Linked DNA regions of Tribolium castaneum. The protein of the gene in region 1 binds, or shares a complex with, the protein of each later gene. Links are inferred from orthologs where the notes say so. Each region holds a gene or a part of one and is shown on either strand. Other genes may lie near its edges. The genes, in order: CCT4 and viaf.

What was found.
Region 2: the proteins of CCT4 (region 1) and viaf are in contact, whole or in part, in a cryo-EM structure (PDB 8I9Q), measured with the Homo sapiens proteins. The link is inferred for Tribolium castaneum from reciprocal best matches to the Homo sapiens genes CCT4 and PDCL3. Residues at the interface, in NP_006421.2 of Homo sapiens: Val266, Gln271, Met272, Leu276, Glu279, Arg280, Leu312, His315; in NP_076970.1 of Homo sapiens: Ala70, Ile71, Tyr74, Arg75, Arg78, Leu79, Trp82, Lys86.

What each region holds. Positions count from the first base shown.
Region 1 is NC_087402.1:71,388-83,450, forward strand, and holds CCT4 (T-complex protein 1 subunit delta), read right to left. Parts: upstream 6,735-12,063; 5' UTR 6,605-6,734; coding exon 6,496-6,604; intron 6,350-6,495; coding exon 6,297-6,349; intron 6,245-6,296; coding exon 6,155-6,244; intron 6,109-6,154; coding exon 5,941-6,108; intron 5,885-5,940; coding exon 5,731-5,884; intron 5,678-5,730; coding exon 5,370-5,677; intron 5,024-5,369; coding exon 4,319-5,023; intron 4,012-4,318; coding exon 3,994-4,011; 3' UTR 3,815-3,993; downstream 1-3,814. Other genes in the region: TBC1D23 (TBC1 domain family member 23), read left to right, coding at 1,610-1,638, 1,749-1,857, 1,915-3,786; UDP-galactose transporter senju, read left to right, coding at 8,547-8,634, 8,683-8,800, 8,851-9,673; Marc (mitochondrial amidoxime reducing component 2), read right to left, coding at 9,948-10,071, 10,120-10,412, 10,470-10,839, 10,897-11,153. UniProt on the Homo sapiens protein: Component of the chaperonin-containing T-complex (TRiC), a molecular chaperone complex that assists the folding of actin, tubulin and other proteins upon ATP hydrolysis.
Region 2 is NC_087394.1:28,837,431-28,848,098, reverse strand, and holds viaf (viral IAP-associated factor homolog), read left to right. Parts: upstream 1-5,741; 5' UTR 5,742-5,885; coding exon 5,886-5,891; intron 5,892-5,948; coding exon 5,949-6,081; intron 6,082-6,136; coding exon 6,137-6,365; intron 6,366-6,414; coding exon 6,415-6,623; intron 6,624-6,677; coding exon 6,678-6,793; 3' UTR 6,794-6,886; downstream 6,887-10,668. Other genes in the region: l(2)k09022 (HEAT repeat-containing protein 1 homolog), read right to left, coding at 1-1,916, 2,749-3,902; protein arginine methyltransferase NDUFAF7 homolog, mitochondrial, read left to right, coding at 4,324-5,024, 5,078-5,615; maternal embryonic leucine zipper kinase, read left to right, coding at 7,256-7,477, 7,525-7,707, 7,759-8,019, 8,606-9,218. UniProt on the Homo sapiens protein: Acts as a chaperone for the angiogenic VEGF receptor KDR/VEGFR2, increasing its abundance by inhibiting its ubiquitination and degradation.

The DNA.
Region 1 (12,063 bases):
CTTACCTTCAAAGAGGTGAAAAAAAAATTTTTTTTAAACTCACTCCAGTAAATTTTTATGGACTTCTACATGTCTTAACAACCCAAAAAAGTTGTTTTTAGTCCACAAAAAGTCCATATGTTCGATTTTTAGAAGTTTGATTTTTCAATTTTCGTCGCAGTTTTTGTCGATTTTGGGTACCCGGAACTTTTGTCAAGCAATAGCTCCGGAACTATCAGAGATAACCCCATGAAGTGTATTATCGTTGGAAAGCTCTTTAAATTATCTATCTTTTTCAAAAAAAAATATTGTTCTCCGACTAATAGTTTTCGAGCAAATTGGAGACAAATGCAAAAATTGGGAAAATTTTTAAAAATTCATAACTAAAAAACCATTGGGAATTTGGCAATTTTCTCGATGCCAATCGATTCCCCGGATCATTTTGCATAGGATTTTACGTTCTCCAACTTTGTTTTAAAAAAAAAAGAAAATTGCAGATAAAAGCAAAATTAGACTCAAGAATTTGAGTATGACATGATGTGGAGACAACCTCCACATCTTCCACCTTGAAAACATATTCTAACATCTGTCTTTGGTGCTCTACTCTGCATGTCGAGTCACATGCCACTGCAATTTTTGGAATTCCAAATTCTTTTACTCTATCCTTCAGCTTCAGGAGAGCATCGTATGTTCTCGGAAATGAACCAGTTGCCTTCTCCATCTCTTCAGCAGCTATTACAAACATATAGCTAGCTATCTTCTGGAGTTTCGCTCACTGCGTTGAGTCCCAGCGCAACTGTTGGCTTAATGGTTACTACCATGGCATTTATAGGGTTCTCTCCTTTTAGCACATTTTGTCTGTACCGTGGGCACCGCTGACTAAGTAATCGCAGCAGTGCCCCCTCCTCTTTTTGCTCCCTCGATCTAATAATCACCGGAGCAACTTCCTCTACTTGTGCAAAGGGGCTAATTGCCATTACCTTTACTTTCTCGTAGTGAGAATCTTCCCACTTACAGTCCATCAGGGTTCTAAAATCGCTGAATATCCTTGTCTTCTTTCGAAGAGGTCCGGAAGGAGACTCAGATAAATCTGTCGGAGTGGCGGCTTGTAATCCTGAAGTCACCATTTCCATAGCCCCAAAACACTTTGTTTATATTTTTATTGATTTATCTCCGTTCATCTTCTCATTGTTTTATTTTTGGCGGTCCTTTTAAATAAAACACAAATACAACATAACGTTTATTCAAGAAATCCTTTTAATTAACATATTGTTTGGAAAATATGCTACCCATATTTCTAATACCAAACAAATATTGAATCCAAAATTTTTGTAACACTGTAAAGAAAGAAAGGAATTATGTGTTAAACTAAATAAAGGGCTAAAAAACCCCACCAAAACTTTCAATTTTTGCTCCATGTCACTACAAAAAAAATCAAATGCGCTTTTGCAAAATTCTAAGAACTGCTGAAATGGGATATAAATTTTAAAATATCCGCCATACTTAAAACTTTCTGGTACCCATGGCTGCCAATCCCTCTTATCATCTGCTGTTTTGAATGTCACTTTTTGACACGTTGATGTGGTATTTTCCTCTTTTTCGTCGCTTATTTTTTCTTTAATATGTGAAAATGGCAAGTGTTGATGACGACAACGGATGGTAAGTTTTCAAGCATAATAAAGTTGCCTCAATTTTTTGTTGTTGTAAAACGAAACCAAGTCTCGCCTGTGCAGTGTCATTTATTTACTTTAGTTATTATTTTATTATAGGGTGGCTGATTTAGAAAGCGCTTTACTGGAAGAATGTTCAGTTGCTGATATTTACTGTATTTGCAAAGGCAAACCTTTACCTGACAATTTACGAGCTGAAGTCTGGCAGGTTAGCAACATACCAATCATTTTGCTCGTCATAAATAATGTGTCGTATTTTTTTTAGATATGTCTCGACGTAAGAGACAAGGGGAACCAACTCGATCACTTTAACGAAATCTATGATTTGCCTAATCAATCTGTGCTACGAGAAGACTGTCGAAATTTCGTTTCAAAACTCGGCAATGACGAAGAGGATAAATTATCCGTTGTATCCGATTTAGAATCGATTTTAACATTTTATTGCAAAAGTCGCAACTTGACTTATATTAAAAACAACGGCTGGATTGAGCTTCTGCTCCCTTTGCTAACACTGAAAGTGAATCGTTCAACCACTTACAACCTGTTTGAGGCAATTAGAGACACTTACGTGCCTCAAAATTGTCACACAAATGACGGCAACGCTTTCCATATTTTGCGTCTTTTATTGCTCTATCACGATCCAGAATTGTGTTCATTTCTTGACACTAAACGTATCACACCTGATAAATATTGTCTGACATGGTTCCAGTCACTTTTCGCAGCCACTTGTAATTTACAAGTCGTCATAAACATGTGGGACTATTATTTTCAACAGTCTGACCCGTTTTTCATTTTTTTCCTCTCGTTAATCATGGTAATAAACGCACGCGAGCAAATCATTTCAATGAAAAGCGAATCTCGAGATGTAATTATTTCGAATTTGACGAACATGCCGTGTGCTCTTGAGGCTGAAGACGTTGGTGATTTTTGTTCCTTGGCCCAATATTATGCCCTTAAAACACCCGTTAGTTTTCGGACCGATTTAATGCAAAACTTGTATAATGGCACAAATGATGCTGTAGTCTCTCAAGCGTTATGTCTCCCAGTTTCCGTAAGCGAACTAGTTGAAAATACGTCCAATGAGAGTGGAAATATAGACGCTGTAAGATTTTTCCTAGTTGATTGTCGACCTGTGGAACAGTACAATGCCGGTCATTTACCTACAGCTTTTCACTTGGACTGTAACTTAATGCTTCAAGAACCAAGTGCTTTTAATACTGCTGTTCAAGGCTTACTTTCGGCGCAAAAACAAGCTCTGGCACATAATTCTACAGCAGGTGGTGAACATTTGTGTTTTTTGGGATCAGGTCGTAACGAAGAAGATCAATACACTCATATGGTTGTGGCTTCTTTCCTACAGAAGCACACTCAATACGTTTCACTTCTAACAGGAGGTTATTGTGCTCTTCATCATTACTTTTCGGATGATTTAGAGTTTTTACAAGATCATAATCCCAAACTTTGCATTGTGTGTGGCCCAATGCAACAACAACAACAACAACAGCAAGGTCAAGTCAAGGGACAATCGACCGATTTGTTTGGGAAAATTTCAGCAGCAATGAAATCGAAATCGGCCGAAGTTAAAGAAAAACTTATCGATTATATCGTTAATCCCAACAATAGTCCCGTGCAAGAGAGACATGTTAGCAGTAGCGACAAAATCGGGAAAAGGTACCGAAATGTGGCACCTGTTTTTAGTATAGATGATGATCATGAAAATGCTACCACCAATAACATGGAAGATGCAACTAATGAAGAATGTCGCGAATTGGTACAAATACAATCATGGTTGAAACATCCCGAAGTTATTGAACATTTTCCGTGTCAGGAGGTGAAAATCAATGGTTTTATGTACAAAAGTCACTTGATTGTGACTAACAGTGAGCTTATAGTACTTAGAGAAATGCCCGATAGGAAAGGTGGCATTGCTGAAGTTATTGTAAAACGCCCCCTGTCGGCGATTGTTAAAATAACAGCGAGGAAACGTCATCCTGAACTTATCACTTTCAAGTATGGCGTGCCAGATGGTGAGAATTTAATTATATCTGACATGGATCGATTTCTTATACCCAATGCCGATAAAGCTACAAAAGTTGTATCTGAACAGATTTTAAAGCAGTTGAAGAATAAGGAGTAATTTGGAAATTTAAATAGAGTTACACATATTTATTGTTACTGTAGATATTTTATTATAGGAAAAAAAACTTTAACCATTTGTTTATTCTTATCTAAATAAAACAATGCTTAAACGAATCCACAATATTGTTATTTTTGTAATAATACTAATTTTGTTACAAATGATCGTACTTAACAAAAAAATTAAATGAAGCAATTTAGAAAAGATCTATGTCATCGTGTTCACCTGGAAAAGACAAAACATTGTTTAAAATTTTGTACTTATGGTAGGTAGGACTATACTGGGCACATTATCCAGTTAAAAAAAAATAAACAAAATAGCCTTTTTTACAATTAACAGATTCGTTTCATTTTACCGGTGGTCAAGTAACAAGTTTTATATTTTTTTATTTATTAAAGCCCTCAACTTCGTTTCGGTCTTCAATATTAAAACTTCACGCTATAAAATTATTATACAATTATTATTACTTTTCTTTAAAATCTTATTTCAAATTTTGCGTCAGTATAGTTCAACCTTAAAAAAAACAACTTACAATATCATCAATTTTCAAAATTGATCGGACCGTTTCGGTAGCAAACGTTATCGCACTGACGCTGACCAACAACGGTTGTACCACATTCTCCTCTAAAATATCCGAAATCGAGCCCTTTCTCACATTAATCCCTGCTGAAATTTCTCCTTTCGCATGTCTATTCCTCAATTCTGTCACCGTTTGAATTGGATTCAAACCAGCATTTTCGGCCAACGTAAACGGAATAATCTCCAAAGCATTTGCAAAAGCTCTCAAACAGATCGCATCAATACCCTCTTTTGTATCAGCCAAAGCAGCCAGTTTCAAGGCCAATTCAATCTCAGGTGCACCACCACCTGCTACAATTGCTCCTTTTCGTACCAAACAACGAATCACACACAATGCATCATGTAAAGATCTTTCCGCCTCTTCAAGGACTAATTTATTCGAGCCTCGAACCAAAAGTGTCACTGTTTTACCGGCATTTTGAGCACCGGTAATCTTCACCATACGATTGCCGCCAACACCGATCTCTTCAACCAAATCGGCTGAAACGAGATTTTCGGCGGTAAAGTGATCGAGAGATGCGATAGGACGACAACCGAGTGATTTACACACAAATTCAACGTCTTCACGTTCAATGTCTTTGACGACCATACATTTGATTTTATCGAGAAAATGAAGAGCGAGATCAGAGACGGCATCGCGAAGAATTGATTTCTGGATCTAAAAACAAAACAACAGGTAACTATCTATAATGACGCCTATTAAGACACAAGTACGAAAATTACAAGCCGTAGGCGAGAGTCGTATAGCCTACAGGTATATTAATAGCCATTAAAGTTGCATACACTACTTTTTTTATGATTCGATGGGTTAAAGTACAAAAAAAAATTTTTTAATGTCGAATTATTTTTTAAATGTCAAACGCACAAAGGCAGTCAAATATCTAATTGCTACCATTTACGGTCACAAGTTGTCCTCGTGATCGTTACACTATATTCTCGTTGGTAACAAACATTTAAGCAATAAATAAATTAAAGTATGAGAGTAGAAAAAAAATTTTAATTACCAAAAGGACATTACATCCAGCCTTCTTGATCTGCTTGACAATATTCAAAATATAAGTCCTCTCTTCCTTAAGAACTCTATCCATAGCAGCATAATCAGAAACAACAACATTATGATCCATATCGGTTTTAGGTGCAGAAATACAAAACTGAATAAATCCAATTTTGGCTTTCTCTATACGTTTCGGGCCATTGACATTTGCAACTTTTTGAGGAAAAACAACACCATCTATTAATTCGGTATCTTCAACAGTGCCCCCAATTTGCTTAATGACTTTAATATCTGACAAAGAAACGACTTGTTCACGCCCTGAAATTAAATAATAATTATTTTACACATAACTAATTTTTCTCCAAACAAACCTGGTTCTACGACCTTTAAAACCGCATCAACAGCCAAAGGAGCCAACAGACTTGATTGTTGTGAAACAACCTTTGAATTCAATGATGTTGACGCACTTTTAACCATTTGTTCGCGATTATCTAATTGAATCGGCTTAGAAATGCTTGTTAAAACCTGAAAATTGCATATAAAATAATTATAGCGTGGTATGAAATATAAATAAAACTTACATCGACGGCGTGTTTGGCGGCTCGTTGAAATGATTCAGAAATTGCAGTTGGGTGAATCCCCCGTGTTAATAATTTTTCAGCAGCATCGAGTAAAGCCCCCGCTACTACAACAACAGTAGTGGTACCATCGCCAGCTTCAACATCCTGAGCACGTGACAGCTCAACTAACTAAAATAATAATAAATTTTTTCAAATAATGATTTTACGTTTTTACCATTTTTGCAGCTGGATGTATGACATTCATTTGTTTCAAAATCGTAGCCCCATCGTTGGTGATGGTGACTTCACCATTGCTCGCCTGAATCTAAATTAAAACAATCATTAGAAAAATTATTAATCATTGAGTACCTATATACCATTTTATCCATGCCTCTTGGCCCCAAACTCGTACGAATGGCATCGCATACAGCTGTCAAAAAAATGTACGATATTATATAAACGTAGCGAAATGAGTCGATAAAACCGGCTTGAAACATTGTAAGTTCATGTAATAATTATAAAAACGATTACACGAAGGAAAATTTAGAAGTATTTTTTTAAAAAAACTATGTTTACCTTTTGCGGCATTGATATTGCTGAGACGGACATCGCTCGGCTTACTTTTGTCTTTGTAAACCACACCTCGCGCTTTATTTCCATCACCCATTGATGCTTGAATCGTCATTTTTCACGAATTATATGAAAACACGTTACTATTAATTGTAACTTAACGGATGATTGTAGATATTTGTCGACACAAACTTATTTTTCAACACACAAAAATGACAGTTCCATTAACTTTGACATCGATGAGAAGATAGCACCAAAAATGGTGCTGGCACCATGAACATTACAGTGGACCAGACAATCGCTGTGTGCATAGAGCTAACACTATTTCCCACCATTCTCGTTTTCTACAGCCAAGTTCACACCAAGAAAATTATCAGAATAATCGTAAATCATTATAAAAACATCAATAAGCTGTTACACTGACTTGCATATCACATTTCTAGAACATTTCCTGACCATTCTAATGTGTATCTATTACAAATTAAAACTTAACTGCATTTAATTTCTGCATTTTTTATTCTCATATTCATGAAATGCAAACTGATTTTTTTTCACACTCTTTATATCCCGCAATTTTCTTTATTTTTGCAGGAATTTAAGCCCACTGATAGGGCCTTTAACTGTAAAAAAATCATGTTTGGGCAAACACCCCTTGAGACCTTAACGAATTTTTTTAATTTTTATAAAGTTACTCTATTTTGCAAATTTTTTTTTCACCCACTTTATACCTTGCAATTATCTTTATTTTTGCAAGAGATTAAGCCCTTCGATAGGGCCTTTGACTGTAAAACAACCATGTTTAGACAAACAGCCCTTGAGGCCTTAATGAATTTATAAAGATTCTTTAAAATTTTCCGATTTTGCAAACTATATTTTTTTTAATCAACTTTATATCCTGAAATCCTGAAAGCCATCTAATAAGGCCTTCGACTGTAAAAAAATCGATTTTGCAAACTGCGTTAAAAAAATTTGTATTTAAGAATTGCTCTTATTAGTCAAATTAATAATTAATTTGTCCAGCAAGAACCACGTAGAGGTTTAGAGCATTCTTGCCAGGAGAAAAGGGAATAAGGATGAGGTAAACAATGATTATTGGAAAATAAAGGGAATAAAGGAATTATTGGTTCGTGAAATAAAAAAATACAACACAAAGATAAAATGCACTTACCTTTATGGCTTCTGCGTTGGCTACTGTTTGTAGCAAAACAATAAAAAGAAATTAAAAATAACACCATTAAAAAATCTTTATTTGCATGAAAGTAACATAAATAAATTTTGAGAAAGCGACTTTCATCGATTAAAATTAATGTCAAAATCAGTACGCGACAATAAATTATTTGAGTGTTTTATTTTATTTATAGTTACTGTATTTAAAACGTGTCACTCAAACTATAACTTTTCAACACCGCATTTAGAGCCGGTGTACACATTTTAATTGCAATTAAATTTTACGGAATTATTGGTTTGTGAAATAAAAAAACAACAACACAAAAATAAATGGTCAGGAGATGTTCTACAAATGTGATATGCAAGCCAGCGTAACAGCTTATTAATGTTTTTAAAATGATTTACGATTATTTTGATAATTTGCCTGGTGTGAACTTGGCTGTAGAAAACGAGAATGTTGGGGCAATGTTGCTAGCACCATGCGCGCAGCGATTGTCTGGTCGACTGTAATGTTCATGGTGCCAGCACCATTTTTTGGTGCTGTCTTCACCGACATGTAACTTTGGACCTTTGGACAGTTGACTGGTGAGTTGGTGTTTAAAGTTACGAGAAGAAATTTTTTGGAAATTTGAATAATAATAATTAAAAAAAAAATTCAAATGGTGGTAAAGATGTAGACATATTTGTATGTATCAAAGTATGTGCATTATTATTATTATCGTAGGTTTAATCAATAATCAATCACACATTTTGAATGTGTGACATAACCTAAACATTTTCCAAGAATGAGTTATCAAGAGATAAAAAATAAAATGGCTCGTAAAATGGTATTTACTCAACAATTGGCTCAACAACTAATACAATTGTAATAAGTCGTAAATTCTGTGAATATGTCGACGTTTTCGTGGATCGAATTGTTCCCTACAAAACTGAGTTTTGTAATTTTCTTAGCTTATATATTGTTGTTTGTAGGGCAAGGTAACTATCAATGTTATATTTCCGGTTTAACGCTTTTTTTCTTTATAGGAATATTAGTAACAGCCTCTCAAAAAGCAGACAATCAGTATGATTATAACATAATTACGGTAGTTCTACTAACTGAAGTTCTTAAATTGATTGTGTCAACATTGTTGTACTGTAAAGAGTAAGTTTTTCACTTTCAAGTAAAATAATTTTAACAATTTCGAGTTGTAGCAATTCTCCAAAGTCGCTAGTCAACAATATAGTAGAAAATAGGAAAGTATTAGGGCTTTATTTTGTACCTGCACTCTTGTATTGTTTCTACAATAACCTTGCTTTCGTTAACTTATCAGTATTTGACCCCACAACTTATTACTTACTATTGCAATTGAGAGTTGTAGTCACTGGAATACTATTTCAAGTCATTTTTAGTAAAACTTTAAGCAAGAAGCAATGGCTTTCATTGTTAATTTTAACATTTGGATGCATGTTAAAACAGATTAATTTCACCAATCAAGAGAAAAAATCATTTATTTCGTTCGATATCGTTGGTTTAAATGGCATTTTCATTCTTTTGCAAATTTTTTGTTCATGTCTTGCGGGAGTCTATAACGAATATCTTTTAAAAAAACAAGGAGCTGATGTGAATATTTTCATTCAAAATGTTTTCATGTACTTGGATTCGATTGTTTGTAACGTGGTTTTATTAAGCGTACGAGTCTCTTTATCATCCGCGTTCACTTACGAAAACATTAGCAAAGTATTCCATTACAAAGTATTACTAGTAATGTTTAATAATGCCGCAATTGGTATTGTCACTAGTTTTTTCCTCAAAACTTTAAATTCCATTTTAAAAACTTTCGCCAGTGCCTTAGAGCTGGTTCTGACGGCTATCTTGAGTTATTTATTTTTTAGGATTGCCATTCATTTAAACACGGTTCTTGCTATTGGTGCTGTCATGTATGCCGTCTATTTATATTCCCAGAATCCAGTCTCATCAAAGGCCAGTAGTCGACAAAGCGATCAAATCGCTCTTATTAAAAGTGAACAAGTTTAATGTGATTTTATTTTTTTTATTTCTACACAATTGACTGCTGAAAATTGGTGTGTGATTTATTTCATTTTTAATGTAATCAAGTTTAATAAATTGTTAAAGCCGAACGACGTTTTTATCATCCCTGACGCACAAAAAAATTATTTTGAACAGTCAATTTTAATTCGTATTATATACAGAGGATGGCCTAAGTAATAACAATAATAGTATAAGTAACAATCTCAATGAATGAAAACTATGTAATGTCCCCCCTCTACACATAGACCTAAAACGTTCTTTATTGCGTTTCTTCCTTCCTGGCAATAAATACAGGGTCGCCAACATTAATAAATCCAGTTTTTGCAACTTCTAAATTCGTTCCGAATCTTGGTCCATGATCAGGTCCTGAATGTTTGCGATATCTGTAAAACAAACAATTTTGTTGGTTGCTTGATTATTTTTCTACTAACGTTTCCAAAGTTTTCAACGGTTGCCTATTTATATCCCTGATTCCGTTTTCAGACGAAATGGTTGTAAAGACACACCTAGTACAGTCTTTAACATTTCTCAAAATAACATTATCGCCGACTTTGATCCAATCCCAATTGTCTTCATCATAAGGTTGCAAATCAGGTCCATCAACAATAATGTTGTGTCTGAAATTTTCAACAGTAACATTGGAATTGTTACCAACTCGTTTATTCAAATCGTGAACTGAATGTTGATTGATGAGAGTAACACTCGACAAGTCTGCAAACAGGCCCTGAAATAATGTACGAATTAATAATAAATACAATATTTTAATTTGATTTGCACAAACAGTTGAATGGTTGCTTAAGTTCTTGTAGTAGTTGAGGAGTTTGTGGTGGGTTTTTGTAATATCGCGTCGATGACTGGCATCGTTGTAACCTAGTCTTAGACCAAAATCTCGCTCAATTATGTATCGGGAAAACCAGCCAGCTGCCTCATCTCCACAATCAATTGCTTCAATATGTTCGTTGTTCCAACACTTGACTTTAGCAACGGCGTTGTCTTTTCGGTTGGGTATTTTAACGTAGAGTGTCCTCATAGTGGGAGCATCTATGGCAAGGTGATCCTCATCGTGGACCGAAACATCAATGAGGACCATTTTTGGGTAGGTCCGAGCAGTGCGAAATTCATGGTCCTTAGCTCCATAAACTACCAAAACCCTAAAAAAACATTATATAATGATGGAATTTTTCGCTACCATGTTGGATTTGTTATACCTGTCTCTTAACTGAAAGATCTTTTCGTCCTCTTTAGTTTGTCTAAGTCCAACTTCTGTTACTTCAGCCCTTTGTAATTCGACTCTGTGTCCACTTTTAAGTGGATACAAGTGAAGTTTTTTCACGCTTCCTATGCGTTCCCAATTCGAAGGTATTTTGACCTGTTTCCATTTTTGATACAAGTAGGAACCAACGACAGTAACAGCAGTCACAAGACTTGTAAAAAGGACGGTTTGTGTCACACTGTTGAGACCCATTTTCAGACACTAAAAATTTATTGTGTGGAATTAAGCTTTAATTTTCTTATCATAATTGGTTGTAAATTAATATAGTCAGACGGTTATAGTCAACAAACGTTCCGTGATTTATTTAGATATTAAAGTTGCGTCATTTCGTTTGTTGAATGAAATTTTTTGATAAATTGCGGAAAAAACGCACACCCCAATTATATTCGTGTAATTACCATTATTATTTACTTACAAAAGTGTCATCAAATAACAATTAGGGAATTACTAGAGCACACAATGTCGTGCGACTTCGACGGGGGTCAAATTAATCATAAAAACTTGTACAAATACAAAAATTATCTTGAATTATATGATAAGCTACGAGATAAAATGGTGACCAATTGTGAACTTTCTGTGTATAAATAAATATTTTCTTAATTCTTACCGTTTCAAGTCGTTTCAACGCGAGAAAACTTAAACATGTGATAATGTTTAGAAAAAACACTTTGCGGTTGCGAGCTAGGCAACAAATAATACATATGACCTTATACTATTAAAATATTCTAATATTTTTCGGAAAAATTATTTAGAATTTAGAATATTTAGTCAACTCAAATAAAATATTTTAGACAAAAATTTAATTCATACTTTGCAACATTTTATGATATAAAAAATATTTTCCAGCGACAAAATTAATTAGTACGAATAATGCGCTTTCAGTTTTTTCACGTATAGATTTCTTATGTTTTGTCGTTATTACATTTATGCTATTTTATCTGTAGGTAGGTATTATATTATAAAAACGACTTCAATTGATAGGATGATAATAAAAAAAGCTAAGAACTACCAGGAAATCATTCATGAAGTTTTTTCTTCTTAAAAAGGTCTGAAATATGTGACATGTCATTAATTCGTTTAACTCTCACTTTGATTTTATTAC
Region 2 (10,668 bases), on another chromosome or scaffold:
CCAGTTGGGCGAAAAACTCGCGATCGAACTGCTTCAAAAGTAATACTGTTGCAAACTCCGGTTTGGAGTCAACAGTGAGAGTGAAGTCCGAGTCTTTGAGACACGTCTCAATCAAAGTCCAGATGGACGTCCCCACTGCGATATTTCCGGCGATTGTGGGCTGGCAACGTTGCAAGTTTCGGACGACTATCGATGACTTGACTTCGTCCAAATTCTTGCTCTGGGTTTTGAGCAAGTGCAAGCAATCGTGCGACGTTTCCTCGAAGATTTCGATCGTGTTAATGTGGGATAGGAGCTCCAACATTTTCGATTTCAGATAGACCGGGTATTTGCCACAGCTTGTTTTAATTAATAGTGTTTTAAGCGTTGATGCATTGCCAGAAACTTTCGTGTCTTTGACTGCAGAAGGTGACAAGTAGTTAAACATGATGAGTGGCAACTGGTCATTGTCAACAACAATCTCCTCCCTTTGGTCCAACAACTCCCTAAAGAGGTGGCCAAAAGTATCGTTCTTCACTTCGGTTAAGATTTCAACAATTCGGAAACTTTTTTGCTTGACGTCTTCCGATTTGTGTAACAACAAGGCCAGAAGTTGGGGGATAAAAATATCACTCTCGAGAAGCGAACTCATTTCGTTGCTGTCCTTGACACTGGACAGCAATTTCGCAATTAGTGACACACTTTCGGTCACGAACTCTAAATCCTGGCTCTTCCCACTGTTGACCAAGTTTAATAAAAACTCTATTTTGCTTCGGAACGTTTTGCAGAAGTAGTTAATAAAAACGTGGACGTACTTTTTGTGGTTTGACTTGTTTTTGAGTAAAGTGGTGGCAAGTAAAGTAAAGTATTGATTAAAATCAGTGTCCTCATGTAAGTCAACTCGGCCCAACTCAACCGTGGGTTTAAGTGTCTTCACAATTACGTTTTTCAAACACAGTAGAAACCCTTCGATGTGGAACTGGCCGGCGCGAGCCACACTGATGTGTTTTTGCATAAAAGCGTTCCCTTTTTCATATTTAATCTCACAATTTTCGATAAACTCGATAAAGATTTTGACGATTGTGATGTTGCTCTCAATTGAGCTATTTTCAGGTAGGATGATGCTCAGAATAAGAATTATCAGATATTTGCTGAGTACGGAACGATCTGTCGTTTTGTGAATACAGGCGATAAAGTCGTTGACCAGTTCTTTGTTGTTGTTCCGCATTGAGTCAAAAACGCTGTTACAAAACTGGGCACAATCCTCACCTTTGGCGTTAATCTTCTTCAGCAAGCAATTTTTACGACAGAACGAACTTTCGGCAATTGTTTGTGCTGCACTTAACTGATTTTCAGAGTTTGGTAATAAGTAGGGAAGCACGGCTACGAACGTTTCCCAGTCGTTTGCCTCGCTTTGCTCGCACAACATGAGCACAATTTCGGTCGAGACGGACCCCCAAGTCTTCAAATCGCTCTGGCACTTGTAGGCCAGTTTGGTCAAAACGTCCTTCAGCGCGTCTGTCTTCAGAACAGATATATTTTTGATCAGGTTTAGTGTTTCATGAACGACTTCCACGCTGTCGTCGTTCAGGCGATCAATGAACGAGCTTTTGATCATTTCTTTTTCACGGTCGCGGAGAGAGTCATAATTATTGACAAGATATTTGATGGCTTCTTTTCGGTATGTGACGTTGGGGTGATATAACTTGGCCAAAACGTCGAACTTGCACCGAATGTTCATTGTTTCGGTGAGGATTTTTTGAAGCGATTTTCGTCGCTTGATCACTTTGCCTTGTTGCGTTGTCGAGAGGATTTTGTAGACTTCTTTATCGAATTGGTCGGGGTATTGGCGTTCGAGCGTTTCGATTATTTCCGTTAGCCATTTTTGGAGGTGTTCCGAGTAGGGTTTCTTGGTCTTGGTACGGTCGAGAAGAAGACTACAAAAAAAGAGTCAAAGTTACGGAGGCGAAATGTGATACAAAAATTTAGTGTGGCGAGTTAAAATTTTTAAATCCTTCCATTACCATTTCTATACATCTTAGAAATTGCATGGTGTATTAACAAAAACCGTGGCCTTTTAACAACACATTTAAATCTACATAGCTTTAATACAAGACATATTACTAATTAGTGTTGCCAGCACGTCGCCTCAAAATCACTGATAAGGGCCCCCTTGTATCGGGTATTAGAATTTTTTATAACCTTCCTCCAAATATCTCCACCACAATTTATGTTTACATTTACTAGAACAATGTTTCTATTCCATTGAAGAATATCTCAAAAATTAAAATTTTTAAATAGCTTTTTGATGCTTTTCATGTATATTTTGGTGTCCTAAACTTTAAATTTTGCATTTTAATGTTTGTTTATTGTAGGTAACTTTTCTTTTGTCTTTATCTTATTACTATAAGTGTGACGTACCAAGAGGTATTATACATACTTGGCTGATAATAAACTGATTTAGTTAATATGCAAAAAACTGATTTAATTTTCACAACAAAAATGAGAAAAAAATATTTGTATTCCGTCCAATATTTTTATACCGTTATGAAAGATACAATAAAAATGTAAGAAAAATAGTTGTAAAATATTAAATTTCATACAAAAAAATTCCCGAGACTATTTCTTTATCTTTAATAATGTAAAGGACGTGTAAAAACGTTCAAAGCCGGTTAAGCGACGAATTCGTTTCATTTATTTTAGGTCTGTTGGGAACAATTGTACAAAAAAAATGAAATTGTCAGAAAACCGCAAAAATTGTGTAATTACCTTAAAAATATTTCCATGAAAGCGTCGTCGAATTTAATCGCCGCTAGAAGAGTCTTCATAAAAGCGCGATACTCCTCCAGGTCCAGTTTGACAGCCCCATACAAGCACGTCTTGACCAAAACCTTCAAAAATGGGGTAACGAAACAATTTCCGTTGCTCAAATCTTGCAAGACTTTCGGTAACCAATTTTTCCCAATCAAACTATAGCAAGCCGATTCCGGTAACTGAGTGTAATGAGTCTGAGATTGGCAAAGAATCAAAAGAGTCAAAACTGATTCAGTTTTCAAAGTTTCAACTTTCGACACGGATACTTTTTCGACGAATTTGTCCAAAATTGCATCAGTTAGCGGCGTTTTCATTACAAGTCGTCCCAGAATAACGTACGAAGCGGCGCAAAAATCCGGAATGTCCGAATTTAGGCCTTTGAGGAGCGCTGGTAGCATCTGAGTGATCTGAGCTTCATTTAACTCGGAGGAATATTCAATAGCCCCCACGAAAACGGTGCAATAAAAGTTGAAAGCGACGGTGAGTAACGAGGGTTTTTCAAATTGCTTCACGAGCAGAGAGATGAATTTGGCCACAAATTTTAGGAAATAAACATCACTTGATGCCTTGTTTAGTAGGCTTTGTTTAGTGAGATGAACCCCAGTTTTCTGAATCGACTTCAAAAAGAACCAACTGTCATTCTCATCCTTGAATTTCATCAACTGCACCACTCTAACGAAAATATTCGACTCGTGATACGGCATTATAAGCATAAGCAAATCGTCTCTGTTAAATTCATGAATGTTGTATCTGTTTATGAGCCATTCAAGCGCCTTATGTGCACAGTTCAGCAAAAAATAAGGCGACAATTGCAGCAGAAATTTCCTAATCACTTTATCCAACTTTTTGTTTGCGTCAGCGGATTGCACCGCGCGCTCAAATTTTTTTGAAGTTATGTGAAAAATGTTGCTTTTAAACTGCTCAAAGACTGGGTTTTTCGTGATCAATTCTTCTAAACCGTCAAGACCGATTTGGTAAACGGTCTCACGTTTCAAACCAGCCGCTTCCTTAGGGTCGAAGAGCAAAGATGGGCGTTTCTTGTCCCTTTGTAACAGCGAGGTTTGGGGCAAAGCCAGGCGCTTGAGTTGCTCGCTCAGTGAGGTGCTCATCTTTAGAAACAAAAACTTTAAATGTGGGAACACTTACACAACCTAGGGAAGTGACTTACCTTTATTTTATCCAAAACCGGCGCCTGTAAACAAAAACAACGCCAGAAATTACATTACACGTGACAACTGGGGCACGCTGAAAAACTGTGGTTATGATACGATTTAGACTTGTCAAAGGATTTATCTACTGGACATTAGACCTAATTTTCTCTAAATTTCACTTAAAATTTGATTAACTGGGTAGTTTTTTATTTTAGTTGGGCACAATTTCTGTTATCATACGTGTCACAGAATTTAAATATTCACATCTTCTTCTTTATTTAAACAAAATCAATTATCTAACAAGGTGGAGCGCTAGACCTACTGTCACTCTGACAAGAGTGAGGTTATTCCAAAATTTCAAAAATAATTAATAGGAACAATGTTTCAAATACGACGTTGCACCCGTATTGTAAAAACCCTTCGGTCGTATTACACCGTCAAGAGTAACGAGTCCGTCAAAGACCCTCATCAAGTGGCTAAGCAAATTTACTCAAAAATCAAAGCCACCGGCCCTATCACAGTCGCTGAATACATGAAGGAAGTGTTAATAAACCCTTTAGGTGGCTATTACATGCACAAAGACGTGTTTGGTGAATCAGGGGACTTTATTACATCCCCAGAACTCAATCAAATGTTTGGAGAAATGGTTGCCATTTGGTTTTTGAATGAGTGGTCTAAAGTGGGGTCCCCTAAACCAATTCAAATTGTTGAATTAGGGCCAGGCCGTGGCACTTTAAGTCAGGATTTGTTGCGAGTGTTTGACCATTTCGGCGCACTACAGAGTGCCACTTTGCACTTGGTTGAAGTCAGTCCTCTTTTGAGTGATTTGCAAGCAAGGAAACTGTGTATCCAGTCGGACAATATTATTGATAAAAAGTCTGTGATACATAGGCAAGGGATAAGTCATCAGGGGATTCCCGTAAAGTGGTACAGGCAACTAGATGATGTTCCGAATTGTTTCACGTTATTGGTAGCTCATGAATTTTTTGACGCTTTGCCTGTACATAAGTTCCAAAAGACTAAAGACGGTTATAGGGAAATTTTAATAGATATAGACCTTTCTAAAGAATGTTCGTTTAGGTATTTTATGCTGACTCAAACTGCTACAAGTAATAGTATAAATATCTTTCCAGGTATGTTATAGCCAGAGAGGAAACTCCAGCTTCAAAACTTTATATTAGACCAAATGAGACTCGCGAACATTTTGAAATATCGCCTGAAAGTCTAGTTTTAGCCAAACAAATTGCAGAGAGATTAGAAATAGACGGTGGTTTAGCCCTGATTGCTGATTACGGCCACAATGGCAGCGGCACTGACACATTCAGAGCCTTCAAAAAGCACAAATTGCACGACCCTTTGGTAGAACCAGGCACTGCAGACCTCACAGCTGATGTAGATTTTGACGCACTTTCAAAAAGCGCCACTGAAGCTGGAGGGGTGATCACTTTTGGGCCAACTACTCAGCGAGACTTTTTGCTCAAAATGGGGATAGAGCATCGGTTCAAGGCACTTAAAGCAAATGCAAAACCGGACCAAATAGAGGGTTTAGAATTTGGGTACAAAATGATGACTGAAAGCAACCAAATGGGCGAGCGGTTCAAGTTCTTGGCGCTTTTACCAGCCGTTTTGGAGAAACTGTTGAAGAAGTATTCAGTTGCTGGGTTTCACTAATTAATGTTAAATAAAAATAAAAATGAGAACAAGTTTTAAATTTGGCGCTGTCTACTATCCCCACTCCGAAAACAAACTGGGAGAGTCACTGTTGCGATCTTCGTCCAACATTCGGGGTAAAGCGAGATGACAATATGTTACGTGACGGCAAAACATCGGATGTGTCATGCCTACTACACAAATTTCCTTTTTTGTAAAGTAGTCACATGTAGAGCTTCAACAGTAAATAATTCAAAATTTTAATATTTTTGACTCATACAGTTTAACAAAATGCAGGTTTGTACATTAATGTGAGGTTTTTTTGTGTTATTTTCCTGGTCTTAATAATTTTAGGACCCCAATGAGGACACTGAATGGAACGATGTTCTCAGAAGCAAGGGAATTATTCCTCCTAAGAAGGAAACAGAGATAACAGAGGATCAAATTGTGTCTATGTTGGAAGAGACAATTGAACAAAAAACCTCAAGTGATTGCACATTAAAATTCAAAAATAAACTTTGTTCACTTTTGTCCATTTTTAGCTGGTAAAGATTTTTCAAAGCTAGACCTTGATGAGCTAGACGAGTTGGAAGATTCTGAAGATGAAGCTGTTCTTCTTGAATACAGGAATAAGAGGATAGCTGAAATGAGAGCATTGGCTGAAAAAGCCAAATTTGGCTCAGTAGGTGAAATTTCAGCCCAAGATTATGTGCAGGAAGTTAATAAAGCTGGCACAGGCATTTGGGTTGTTTTACATTTATACAAACAAGGGTAAGACTAAAAGTTGTGGTTTTTATAATAATACACAATTATTTTACAGAATACCGCTGTGTGCCCTAATTAATGAATATATGAAGCAACTTGCAGCTAAATACCCAGCTGTTAAGTTCCTGAAATCAATTTCAACGACTTGTATACCAAATTATCCCGACAAAAACTTACCAACTCTCTTTGTGTACTTTGAAGGGGAATTAAAATCGCAAATTGTGGGTCCAGTCGAACTTAGGGGCCCAAATATGACCCAAGACGGTACGAAAATTAATATTTAGTTGTGAAACATTATTTGAATTATTATTTTTCCAGAGTTTGAATTTTTAATTGGAAAAACAGGCGCTATTGAGACCAGTATTAAAGAAGACCCAAAGCCGAAAATCAAAGATAAAATGTTCGCAGATTTGGCTAGTACCAATGATTGGTAATGCGGCAATAATCATCTTTATCTACTTAACGAATTTTGTAACAATTTTATTATTTATTGCTGTTGCTGTATTGAATAAATTAGTTTTTTGATCTACCAGTGTTTCAAACTCCCACACTTGCACCCCAAAAAATAATTTTTTAATAGAAAAACAGGCGATATTGTGCCTTACATTAGAGAATCTCCAAAGCCAAAAATCAAACACAAGATTTGGCCAACTTTTCGGCTTAAAACTTCTTTTCGATCCACTGGTGATTCGAACCAGCACAACTTCCACCGCAGACTACCGGCGTCCTCCGCCCAGTGACAGATGTCAAAACAATTCGAATTCAAATGCGGAAAATTCGTTAATGTTTGCAAATTTCTAACAAAAATATGTGTGTAATTTGAGCAAAAAATCGTGCAACTGTCCGTTTTTGTGTGATAAAGTAGTCGGAGAACAAGTGTTTGTCAAGTAGTCAAAATGGTGCGTTACGCTGAACTGAAAGGCTTGTATGAGATTGAGAAGACGATAGGCTGTGGAGGATTTGCTAAAGTTAAGCTCGCAACTCATGTAGCAACCGGAGAAAAGGTCGCAGTTAAAATAATGAACAAGACGGGACTTGGCGATGACTTGCCAAGGGTCAAACTGGAACTGAAGGCTTTAAAGTCGTTCTCACACCAACACATTTGCAAACTCTACCAAGTAACAACCATAAAGAACGTAAAGGCCTTGCTAATTGTGCTTTTTAGGTGATTGAGTCGGAAACGCACTTTTTCATAGTTATTGAGTACTGCTCAGGTGGCGAACTGTTTGACCACATTGTCGAAAAAAACCGCTTGAGTGAATCGGAAAGCCGCACTTTTTTCCGGCAAATTGTGTCAGGGGTGGCTTATTTGCACAGTCTGGGGTATGCACACAGGGACCTTAAACCAGTAGGTGTTTTCACAACTTTTCAATACATATAAGTAACAAAATAATTGCAGGAGAACGTCCTTCTCGATAAAGACCAGAACTTGAAGCTGATTGATTTTGGCTTATGTGCCCGGCCTGAGGGGGGCATGGGGAGCCCCCTGTACACGTCTTGCGGCTCTCCAACCTACGCGGCCCCCGAGCTAGTCTTGGGGAAGAAATATCTGGGGCCCGAAGTGGACGTCTGGGCCATGGGGGTCCTGCTCTATGCTCTCCTAGTCGGGGCTTTGCCCTTTGATGACATAAACATCGATAGCTTGTATAAAAAAATTCTGGTGAGTTGAGTTTATTTATTATCTTAATCGGGTACATATATTTCTGGTTTCGGTAAGAAGTTGATCACTATCACGTATTCTACTATATTAAAGGGCGCAAGGTGTTGTTTGTGCAACGACCAGTGCATTCCCAGCTTATTATACAAGCGGTTATTTTCCGATTTTAATGTTCTATGTAACGACTTGATTGTCCTCTTATTAAAATAAACCACCGGACACATTGAGCAGCCCAGCGTGCAACAAAACGTGAGGCACCCGCAGAAAAACCAAACGAAATTGTTGATGAAATTCCGTCTTAGCACCTTATTGATGAGAAAAATCGTGTAAGCGTATTCTTCTGGCGCTACTTTCATTCTTAATCGGCTTGGAATTGCGGGGCTAAAGTGGTTGTTGAGGCCAAAAAGCGTCACTTGGCCGTTTCCCTTCAGTAAAATTGGTTCAATTGCGGCGAGATTTTGCAAGATCGTGCTGTAAACACTTTCTGAACTACTCGATTCTGGCGGTTGCATTTTGCAAACTTACATGGTGACATTTTTGACACGGAAGCTTTTGTGTGTGTCACTGTCAAAAAAATGTTTATTTTCAGAGTGGCAAATACGCGGAGCCTCCTTTCCTGTCCGCGGAAAGCAAGCGCCTCATCGCCTCCATGCTCCAAGTGGACCCCAAGAAACGCATCACCGTGCAAGAGCTCCTCTCACACCCTTGGCTCACGTTGGGTATCCTGGACCCAGTCGATTACACCTCAATTGATTTGAGAAAGTACGACAAGGATTGTGTCGACGTTATGGCATCGTATTACAACGTAAACCCGGAAAGAATGTGGCGCCACTTGAAAAAATGGAAATATGATTATCACACCGCTACGTATTTTTTGTTGCTTTCGAGGAAAAAAAGAGGGGCTGTTTTGAGACTGGTGTCATTGCCGGGGCAACTACACTTGAAAATGCGGTTGGAGGAGACTCCGCGTAAAGAAAGGCCCCAGTTGAAACCCTTGGTGATAACTCAAGGACAGCAATTAGGTGCAAAAGAGGGACAGACGCCGTACTACGACTGTATCGAGAATATCGAAAATTGCAAACCGGCGAGAAATGATAATCTGGATAGTCCCAATGTGTTTGTTGAACCTGAGAAGCCCCCAAGCGTACGCAAACCTCAGAAGAGGGTGAGGAGCCCCACTTTGGGAGAGGAAAGTTCGCCAGGTACGATTTTTTTATTTTATCACTCTTGTGCAATAGAAGTTTCCAAATCCATTTCCACTATGTTTTCAGCGGCGCAACAGCAAAATTTTCTTTTGTTGTTTACGTTCTTTTTATCTTATGTTACTTTCCTGTGTTTCGTATATTTTTTTAGTATTAGAGGCAAGTTGCAAATTTTTGGTCACATCTTTTAATTTATGTTTAGTTGTTTTGTTTATTCGTTTTGTTCATTTGTCTGTATTTTTTCAATTCTGTTTTTCAAGGTGTTTGTTCGACAATTTACCACTCTTACGCGGTAAAGTAGTTCTTCTAACTCTTAGTTCTCTTTTCTTTTGTATCACATTATTTGAATTGTTATTAAGCTCGTCTTATTTAAGGTGTTTTTATTTTGTAGTGGAGTGGTTGTTTTATTTTATAGTGCATTTTTTTATCATGTGTGTCCACTTATTATCCCTCCCTCGATTTCTTCAAAGACACAGTTCGATCTCGAAAATCCAAACCTACTATAATCTGAACAGATTCTTTGACTTTTGTAAAACAAACTATTCCAAACAATATTTCCCGAGAAATATTATGTAGATTGTTAAATAATCTTGTAAAAACAACGTAATGTTGTGGTTGCATAATACAAATAGAAAATTTTGAATTTAGAAGTTGCTACAAAAGGCAATTTTCATTGTAAAAGAAGGAATTACTTATTTTCAAATAACATTTTTGCACGAGATATCAAGTAGCGTTTAGATCATCTCGGAACCAAATTGTTTAATTAATTTTAAATTAAACTAGTTAATTACTTCGAAAAAGGAAAGGAACTTTGACCACTAAACTTTTGATAAATTGAGAAAACTTGACTAAAATTTTCACGTCAAACATGGGAAAAATAAAATATATAAATTACTGTTTTTTACTGAGTGCTATAGATGATTTAATGCCTATCTGCCTGTAATTTTTGTGTGTCCTGTGCAGTCATTTACTTCATTGCTCTTAAAACTTAAACGTTTATTAAAAAAATCACATGTAATTATTAAAAAAAAATTAAACGCAAAATCTTAAATATTTCCCAAAAGGTGGGTTTTTGAAAAAAACACGATAAATAGCAGGTAAATCTTCTGTTTAAAACAACATAGACAACATATTGAATTTTGTATCCATCAAGCGAATCAGAAGTTGCTAAACAAAAATTTTAAAGTTATCCACTTTTCCAACAGGAAGCAAAAAATAACCCTTAATCTGACGAAATTTTGAAAGTCAAGGCTAAATTTTGAGGTATTTTATATAATTTTGTCGAGAATTTTTATATGATCATTATAGTAAATATTTTTTTACAAATCAAAATAAGTCTCATGTTGTATTTGGTTGGATTATCGAGGTTGCACTGTATCACTTTATTTTTTGTTTTTGTTTTATATATTTTGTGAAAGTATAGTCATCCCCAGCCCCCAAAACAAAGCCT